Oryctolagus cuniculus: one gene and its partner. The protein of the gene in region 1 interacts with the protein of each later gene in a biochemical or structural test. Links are inferred from orthologs where the notes say so. Each region holds a gene or a part of one and is shown on either strand. Other genes may lie near its edges.

Evidence for each region. The genes of interacting proteins can lie anywhere in the genome.
Region 2: the proteins of HIP1 (region 1) and CLTB form a complex in vitro, tested with the Homo sapiens proteins (2 studies listed by BioGRID, with this or other methods). The link is inferred for Oryctolagus cuniculus from reciprocal best matches to the Homo sapiens genes HIP1 and CLTB.

What each region holds. Positions count from the first base shown.
Region 1 is NC_091450.1:50,706,812-50,710,663, reverse strand, and holds part of HIP1 (huntingtin-interacting protein 1), read left to right. Parts: intron 1-27; coding exon 28-138; intron 139-885; coding exon 886-944; intron 945-1,154; coding exon 1,155-1,248; intron 1,249-3,107; coding exon 3,108-3,208; intron 3,209-3,440; coding exon 3,441-3,546; intron 3,547-3,852. UniProt on the Homo sapiens protein: Plays a role in clathrin-mediated endocytosis and trafficking. Involved in regulating AMPA receptor trafficking in the central nervous system in an NMDA-dependent manner. Regulates presynaptic nerve terminal activity.
Region 2 is NC_091437.1:62,417,580-62,422,051, forward strand, and holds the start of CLTB (clathrin light chain B), read right to left. Parts: upstream 2,921-4,472; 5' UTR 2,757-2,920; coding exon 2,579-2,756; intron 1-2,578. UniProt on the Homo sapiens protein: Clathrin is the major protein of the polyhedral coat of coated pits and vesicles.

The DNA of each region.
Region 1 (3,852 bases):
CTTCAGCCTTTGTGACGCTGTTCACAGGAGCTCCTGCCCAGGGGCCTGGACATCAAACAGGAGGAGCTTGGGGACCTGGTGGACAAGGAGATGGCTGCCACTTCTGCGGCCATCGAGGCCGCCACGGCCAGGATAGAGGTAGGAGGTCTCTGCGGGGCAGGCTGTGCCCGGGCGGCAACACCCAGTGCACGTGTCACAGTCTCTCATCAAAGCCACAGACACATGCCCCTCCCCCACCCCCATTTACCCAAGCCATGCCAATCCAAGGGTCAGAAAACAGTAAGTCCTTGCAGAAGGGCAGTGAGCCGTTTAAGGAGCCACTACAGTGTGAGCACATCCGGGGGTCGACTTCCAGACGGACCCCTTCCAAGCCTTCCGGCTGCTGTAGGATCCCTGTACCATTTCCACAATGGCAGCAGTCGTCATACCCACTCCAGGGGCCTGCTGCACGGGTGACATGAGACAGTGCCCATCTCCCTCTGGGTGCCAGGCACTCCGGAAATTGGTGGCACCCCCTCATGGGAGGTTCATTCACGGAAAGCTTAGCGGGCGCCTTGGGGAAGGTCCCAGGTTGCTCCCTCGCTGGAGGGGCCCAGACCACCCCCCGAGGTGTGAGCACCTGCCTCTGGCACCCCCCGGGCCTGTGGCTGCCAGGGTTCCGTGCACACAAGCCCAGGTGCCAGGTGGACAGGGTGTGGAAAGGGCGCACAGCCTGCTCCACCTGCTGTCACTGCCCATTGCACCTGCACAGAGATGGGGCCAGAGCCCTTCCCTGCCTGGGGACTCCCCAGTTCAGGTTCCCCAGCTTCCGCAGGGAGGTACAGTAGAACCGGCTTCTCGGTCCTGGAGGTGCGTTTGGAAAACTGTGCTTTTTTTTTAAAACAGGAAATGCTGAGCAAATCCCGTGCAGGAGACACAGGCGTGAAGCTGGAGGTGAACGAGAGGTTGGTCTGAGCGGCGGTGGCACCCGTGTGGGCAGGATGAGTCTCGCTGGCCGGGGGCTGTGCTCTGCAAACCCGTTCAGGGGTCAGAGGGAACTGAGCTGCCCCGGGGGCGACAGCATTGACGGTGACAGTGAGGTCGCTTCGCCTGCCTTGCTGTCCTTGGGGCTCCCACGTGCCCGCGGCCCTGACTATCTGCTTTGCTTCTCCCAGGATCCTCGGCTCCTGTACCGGCCTGATGCAAGCCATTCAGGTCCTGATTGTGGCCTCCAAGGACCTCCAGAGGGAGATCGTAGAGAGCGGCCGGGTAGGCATGCAGGCTGGGCCCGCAGGTGGGGAGCGCAGGTCTGACTCCATGATCCCTGGGGTCTAGCGGCACTGATGTCTGGTCCTGTGAACCCCCCGTGGGCGAGCCACCCCTTCTCGTGATCGGTCATCAGCCTGGGGGTCGGGTGGTCTGGGTTGGTGAGTCGCCGCTGTGACCCAACCGGGGAAACCTCTTTTTTTGTTTTGTTTTGTTTTGTTTTTTAAAAAAGACATTTATTTATTTGAAAGGCAGAATTACAGAGTGAGAGAGAGAGAGAGACAGATCTTCCATCCACTGGTTCACCCCCCAAAATGGCCACGATGGCCAGGACTGAGCCGGGACAAAATCAGGAGTCTGGTACTCCATCCAGGACTCCCACAGGGGCCAAAGCACTCTGTACCATGTCCCCGCTGCCTTCCCAGGCGCGTCAGCAGGGAGCCAGATCGGAAGTGGAGCAGCCAGGACTTGAACTAGTGCCCACATAAGATGCCAGCTTGGCAGGTGGTTGCTTAACTTGCTGCGTCACAACACCGGCCCTGGGAACCCTCCTTACACGGCACTTCCAGGCCCTCTGAGAGGAACAAGGGCTTCTGGAACCTGGGCAGATGGACACGCATGCCTGGGACCGACATTTCCCGGGAGTCTGGCCATGTCTGCTTCCATCCGAGTCCGCTCCCTGCTGTCTCTCACAACCAGCTCTGCCGTCGCTGGGCTGTTGGTCCCTGCCTGGCCCAGTTTGTCTCTCCCTCTAGGAAGGGGCCCAGGGAGGGAGCCAGCAGCTGTTTCTGCTTTGGGGGTGCCCCCTGATCCATCTGGGCCTGGCACACTGGCAGACACTAACAAAGCCTGAGAATGTTCTGGAACTTCAAGTAGACATAATGCTTTGTAAATTATTCATCGCGTCCTCCCATCTTTTGGGAAATGGTGGAAAGCAGCTAGACTCGCCCCAGATCATAACTGACTCATCGCTGAGTATGTGAGTTCTGATATCTCGGTTCCTCTTGAAACCCACTGTGGATTAGTGCCAGGACACCTTCCCCGCCACCCCCCGCCCCATAGAAATGCCAAGTTGCTTATATAAAATGGCATCATATTTGTACATAATCTGCACGCTCCCTTTCATAACTTTTGTTTTTATGATTTATTCATTTATTTGAAGGGGAGAAAGAGATCTTCCATCCACTGATTCACTCCCCCAAAATGGCTACAGTGGCCAGGACTGGGCCAGGCTGAATCCAGGAGCCAGGATCTCCATCCGGGTCTCCCATGTGGGTGGCAGGGGCCCAGGTACTCCGGCCATCCTCCACTGCTTTCCCAGGCCCATTAGCAGGGAACTGGATTGGAAGTGGAGCAGCCGGGACTTGAACCAGTGCCCCAATGCTGGATGTCAGCATTGTAAGCGGAGGCTTAGTTTGCTGCCTAACATTACCAGTCCCCTCCCGTAAACTTCAAATCCTCTCTACATGACTTAGGCCAAATACAGTGTCAGTGCTATGGAAGCAGCTGCTCCTACTGTATGGTTTAGGGATTACTGACAAGAGGAAAAAAATATTCCCACCCCCGCCAACTAATTCTGAGCAGTGTTTTGTTGAGTCCACAGAAGTAGGGGACTTATGGTAGGAAGATTGAGGTAGAGTAGACATGCCCAGGACTGACAGTGTGCAGTGCCCCCCGGGGGGGAGCACAGTCGCCTCTCTGGGTCTTGGTTTTCTCCCCTGAGCAATGGGACGGGACCACTGGTTCCCTCCCTGAGTTACTGCCAGGACCAGCCAGGACCACCCAGGACCCGTCAACCGAAGTGGTAGACCCAGAGCAGGCGCTCGGTAAAAGGTGACCCCTTCTTTCCTTTCCCCTCTCAGGGCACTGCGTCCCCTAAGGAATTTTATGCCAAGAACTCTCGCTGGACAGAAGGGCTCATCTCAGCCTCCAAAGCGGTGGGCTGGGGAGCCACCGTCATGGTGTAAGTGGCTACAGCGCCCGGTCCCCTCCCTCGGTCCCGCTCCCTTGACCCATAGTCCCCTGGAAGGGAACTGTTGTTGGTAAAGACTGAAGGCTTCACAGGGAAGCTGGAGTTGACAAGGACGGGGCTGGCATTGTCCCCTTCTAGTCTAGACAGGGCCAACGGGAGGGGCTGCAGGGGTTGGGTCCTGAGCTGCCTCTGACCTGGCCCTTGTCACATTCTTTCCTGTCAGGGACGCAGCTGACCTGGTGGTGCAAGGCAGAGGGAAATTCGAGGAGCTCATGGTGTGTTCACGCGAAATTGCTGCTAGCACAGCCCAGCTGGTGGCTGCATCCAAGGTAGGACCCCGTGGCTCAACCCCCGGAGCCTGGGGACCATCTGCACAGTGCAGCTGGCCTCGACAGTCAAGGTGGTGGGGTCTCACACACAAAGCGTGCCTCCCCGGGCTCCCACGCCATTCTCCACTAAAGGCATCTGGTCTGTTGCCAAAGAGCCCCCGTCCCCAGCTCCCCACGCGAGGGTCCCAGCCACGCCAGCACCTGATTAGCAGCCCCGACAGACATTCAAGGAGCGATGGAACCAGGACACCTGGTTTGGCTCCCATTCCAGAACGAGCATCTGCCCCTCCCTCCTTCATCTCTGAA
Region 2 (4,472 bases), on another chromosome or scaffold:
CGCTGAGAGCCCACACACACCCACACACAGCATTACCGGAGCGTTCCCACAGTGCTGTCTGATCCATCGCTATGTTTCCATCCCGGGGATAAACCCCGGGCATGTGTGTCTGACCCATTTTGCAACAAGGGCAGAGAGGGACCAGAACATTCCTGTAAGCTTACCCAGACCCAGCAGGGAAACTGGGCTTGCCCAGAACTGACTGGCAAGTCAGAGCCAGGCTGGCTGCTTAGACAGCTGGGTGTGAAAATGTAAACCTTCTGGGACCTCCCCAAGGCTGATGAATGGAAACAAAGTGTCCGGTGCTCAGGCTGGCTACAGATTCAGCCCCACCCGCCCCATCCCCAGCAGAGACTCAATTCAGGGCGCAGGCCCACCCCAGACACCTCTGTCCCCAGGGGCACTGGAAGCCCAACATCAGAGCACACAACAGTGGCACTGCTCAGACAGCGACCCCCTCATCTAAGAGAAGGCGGGGCAGAGGTGTTAAGTGGCAGCTGCTGAGGCTGGAGCCAGCTTCCGCTCAGCTCCGGGGAGGCCCAGACCCTCCCCTGCCCCATCCAGGCGCCCTGGCCTCATCTCAGGTCTGGGGAGGATTGTCTGTTCCGTGCTGCCTGCGCTTAGAGGGGCCAGATCAATTCTCCCCAGTGAAGCCGCCCGCTGAGCTGCCCACCACCGCCATCCCCATAGCCACCCAGGAAGGCAGCCTCAGTGGGTGAGCCTGCTTGCCCGAGGGCTGTGTCCCCAGCAGCTCCCTGTAAGTCCCTGGTTGTTTCTTTCCCTGTCACCTTGGATCTGGGGCCAGTCGGTACCCCAGGCCTGCAGGTCGGTGGAGCCCCACTGTTCTGGGAGAGGCTGCAACCTCCTCAACTCTCCCGTGCCTCTGGCTGCCCTGGGCCTGCATCCCACCTGCCCTTCTCTCTCTGACAACTGCTGGGCCCAGCAGGGCCTCTCAGGGCTGAGCCAGACTGGGGGAAAGGAATGGGCTCATCAGGGAGGAGGCTGGATAAATGAATGTTTGGCTCATGAACTTGAGGTGCTGGGAGTTGCTGCTTCCGAAGACCTCTGAGGCTGGCATGCTCAGGTAAGGAAACACCTGCCCATGGTATTTCCACATCTCTTGGTCTCCCAGGGAGGTTGCCACAGCATGGAGCCCAGAGGTAAGCAGCCCAGCTTTGGCAAGAGAGGCAGGCTCTCGAGATCTCCAGTGCCTCACGTGTTACAAAAGATTTGTTACATTTCTTACATGGAGGCCTAAGGGTTGCTTCTAATTCCTGGGTCACAGAAACTGCCTAGTTCTACATCCCCCAGGTTTGGGATGGTGGGGGCAGGACTGGCACACACTAGGTGTTCAGCAAACAGTCAAATAATCACACATATTACTGTAAAGAGCTTTGTAAACATTATATATGAGAATACTGCAGAAATTTCAAAGAAATGTTTATTTGGGTGCAAAAAAATGTGAAATGCATGCATATGAGGGGTCTTCAAAAAGTTGGTGGAAAATGCGTATTATGAAAATTCTATGGCTGGATTTCAGTTTTTTTTTTCTGCACCAAAAAACTCTTTTCTTTAAATTCCATTTTCCACCAACTTTTTGAAAGCCGCTGCATGTAGGGATCCATGTGAGCACTTATCCCAACAGCCCCACAAACTCCTGCAGAAAGACAGCTTTAGCAGAAGCAACGTATGTTTTGGATGTATTCACAAAGATGCCATCTACTTTCTTATTCAGTTTTTTGAGAAAAAAAAATTTCAAACTAAAATCAGAGCAAGAACACCAATGATAAATACTATACCCCAGGGTCCAGGCCCCAGAGCCAACCACAGCAGCTCTGGACTGCCAGTACTCATTCCTGAAGGGCAGGAAAAAGCTGAGGGGTGCCCCTGCCCCAACCCCAGGGGGTGCACATTGGGGACAGCAGGGTCGGCTGGAGAGGCTTTGGAGTGTGACAGAAACAGATTCAAATTCTTCATCTGCCACTTCTTAGTCATTTCAATAGCGCGCCTCCGTGTAGCTGGCTCGGAAATGGGCTCAGCAGTGCCTGCGAGATGATTCACCGGGACTGCCCTGTCCGCCCCCAGGGACTGTAGGGTGGCGGAGGAGGTTTGCGAGTTCCTGGAGTACTAGTGTCCCTGGCTTCCCCCGCTGTGGGCCAGAGCTATGCTGAAGGGCCAGGAGGTGGCTTGGTTCCGCCCACATCTGCACCACTCACCGGGGAGCCTGGGACGGCCAGGCCATTAGAAGGCTCGGGAGGAACTGGATTCCAGAGCCAGGCCTGGCGGCGAAGCTGGCCTGGGGGGTGAAATGTCATGCCGGATTCTGAGAGTCACCAGACCCGACCCACAGTCCCGGGAGAGCGCTCAGCTCCTGCCCCTCCCTGAGGTCTTGCGTGAGGACCTCCAGGGAAATGCCTGCCCACTTCCCGCAGGCCCGCTCCCTACCCACGCACGGCCCCCGGCCGGCCCCTGGCGGGCCTACCGCAGGCCCGCTTCACTGCACGGCAGGGGCCCTAGGCCAGGGGCCCCCGGGGGCCAGCCCCAAGCCCCCAGCTCCCGGGCCCTGGCGCTGACTCACCCCCGCTCGCGGGTCCCGGCGGCGCCGCGGCCACCTGGCCGGCGGCAGGTGCGGCAAAGCCTTCGTCGTTCTCGATGCCCGCGATCTCGCTCTCCTGCTGAGCCAGGAAGGCGGCCGCCGGGTCCTCCTCAGCCGCCCCGCTCTCGGACGGCGGGAAGAAGCCGAAGTCCTCAGCCATCTTCCCCGGTGCCTGCTGCAACCGTACCTGGCGCTGTCACCCGAGCCACCGCGGGACCGGCCTCGGCGCGGCGGCCCCGACTTCCTCTCTCCGCCACCGGGCCCGGCGCGCCTGTCACTGCGGCTGCAGGCGCCGCGGCGGGAGGAGCCGGGAGCGGGAATGTGGTGATGTCACCGGCCGAGGGAGGGGGCCCGGGACGGCCCGGAGGTCGCCTCGCGACGGCCACAGGAGGGCGGCAGCAGAACGGCGCCGGAGCGCCTGGGGGCCCGGCGGGCTGGCTCCTGGCTCCTCGGCCGGCCGCGAGCGCGTTTCGCTCTGGTGGGGTCGGTCGGCGGGGCGCACGGCGCAAAGTGGCCGCAGGGCGCGCTGGGCCGCGGCCGGCCTGCGCAGAGTTCGCTCAGGACTCGTTCGGCCAAAGCCCTCTAGCCTCGGCGGGGTCGGTGTTGGGAACCCTACCACCTGCGCCTGGAGGTTGGGAAGGAGGCTGGCAAAGCCTTCGCCGCGTCGCTCCCAGCACGGCCGTGTCGCTTTCGTGCTTTTGCCCTCCGTGTCTCTTCCTTGGAGGAGGCGCCCGCTCTTAGGACCAGCGCGGCCCCTTCGACGGCCTTTGGGTAAGAAGTGCTGGAGAAAGGCACACTTAATTTATCCAGGCAGGCTACTGGGCCACGCTCGGTAATCTGTCCCTGAATGTCACCTCTCTACCTCTGCTTTGCCAGGTACCAGGGCGATCCCAGGCTAGCCAGACGGACTCACGGCAAAGCAGGCAGACTTTTAAACACAAGACTTTGGGAGACCAGAGCAGCACCATGGAATTTCGGTTGTTTATCATCATCAACATCATCATCATTATCATCATCATTGTTATTAAATTGAAAACCACAGAGAGCGGGAAATCTCTCATCAGCTGGTTCACTCCCCAAATGCAACAGCAGGCAAGGGGCAGGCAGAAGCCAGGAGCAGGGGAACCCAATGCAGGTGGATGGCAAGGACCCAGCTACTTCAGCCATCACTTGCTTCCTTTCGGGTGCACACGGCGGGAAGTTGGAACCCCGGAAGAGCTAGGACCTGAATCCAGGCACTCCAATGTGGGATGGAGACATCTCAGGCAGCAGCTTAACCATGAGGCCAAGAGCCTACCTTATGGCAACGCAGTTAAACCGCTGGTTCTCGTACTGGCTGCCCCACATCCAATCCAGCTCCCTGGGAAGGTGGAGCCTAGGAAAGTGGGCTCCCTGCCCCTCATGTGGAAGTCAGGCTCCTGGCTTTCCTACCTGGCCCAGCCCTGGCAGCTGCAGCCATCTGGGGAGTAAACCAGTGAATGAAGATCCCTCTCTGTCCATCCCTTGTCTCTGTAACTCTCCCTTTCAAATAAATAAATAAATCTAAAAACAAAGCAAAACATTAGGCCACATGCTAGCCCCTCTATTTCTGATGTGAGACTTGAAGGTTGACTTTGAGTTACGCACCAGAACAGAGAAGGCAAAGCTGTGCCCCAAGCTGTGAGTCGTGGTTCCCTCAGGCAGCAGAGAGTGAAAGTCGAGGGAAGGGAATTTGTCATTTCGCCTCGTAATGCTTAGATGTCGCGTGCAGCCTCGTTATGAGAATGTAGGTGTCTATTAGCGGTGTGAATGAAAGACAGGTAAGGCCTTGCACACTGTGCTCCAAGCCCCCACTGCCAATGCAGCACCATCTCACGCCTCTTCCTCAGTCCCCACC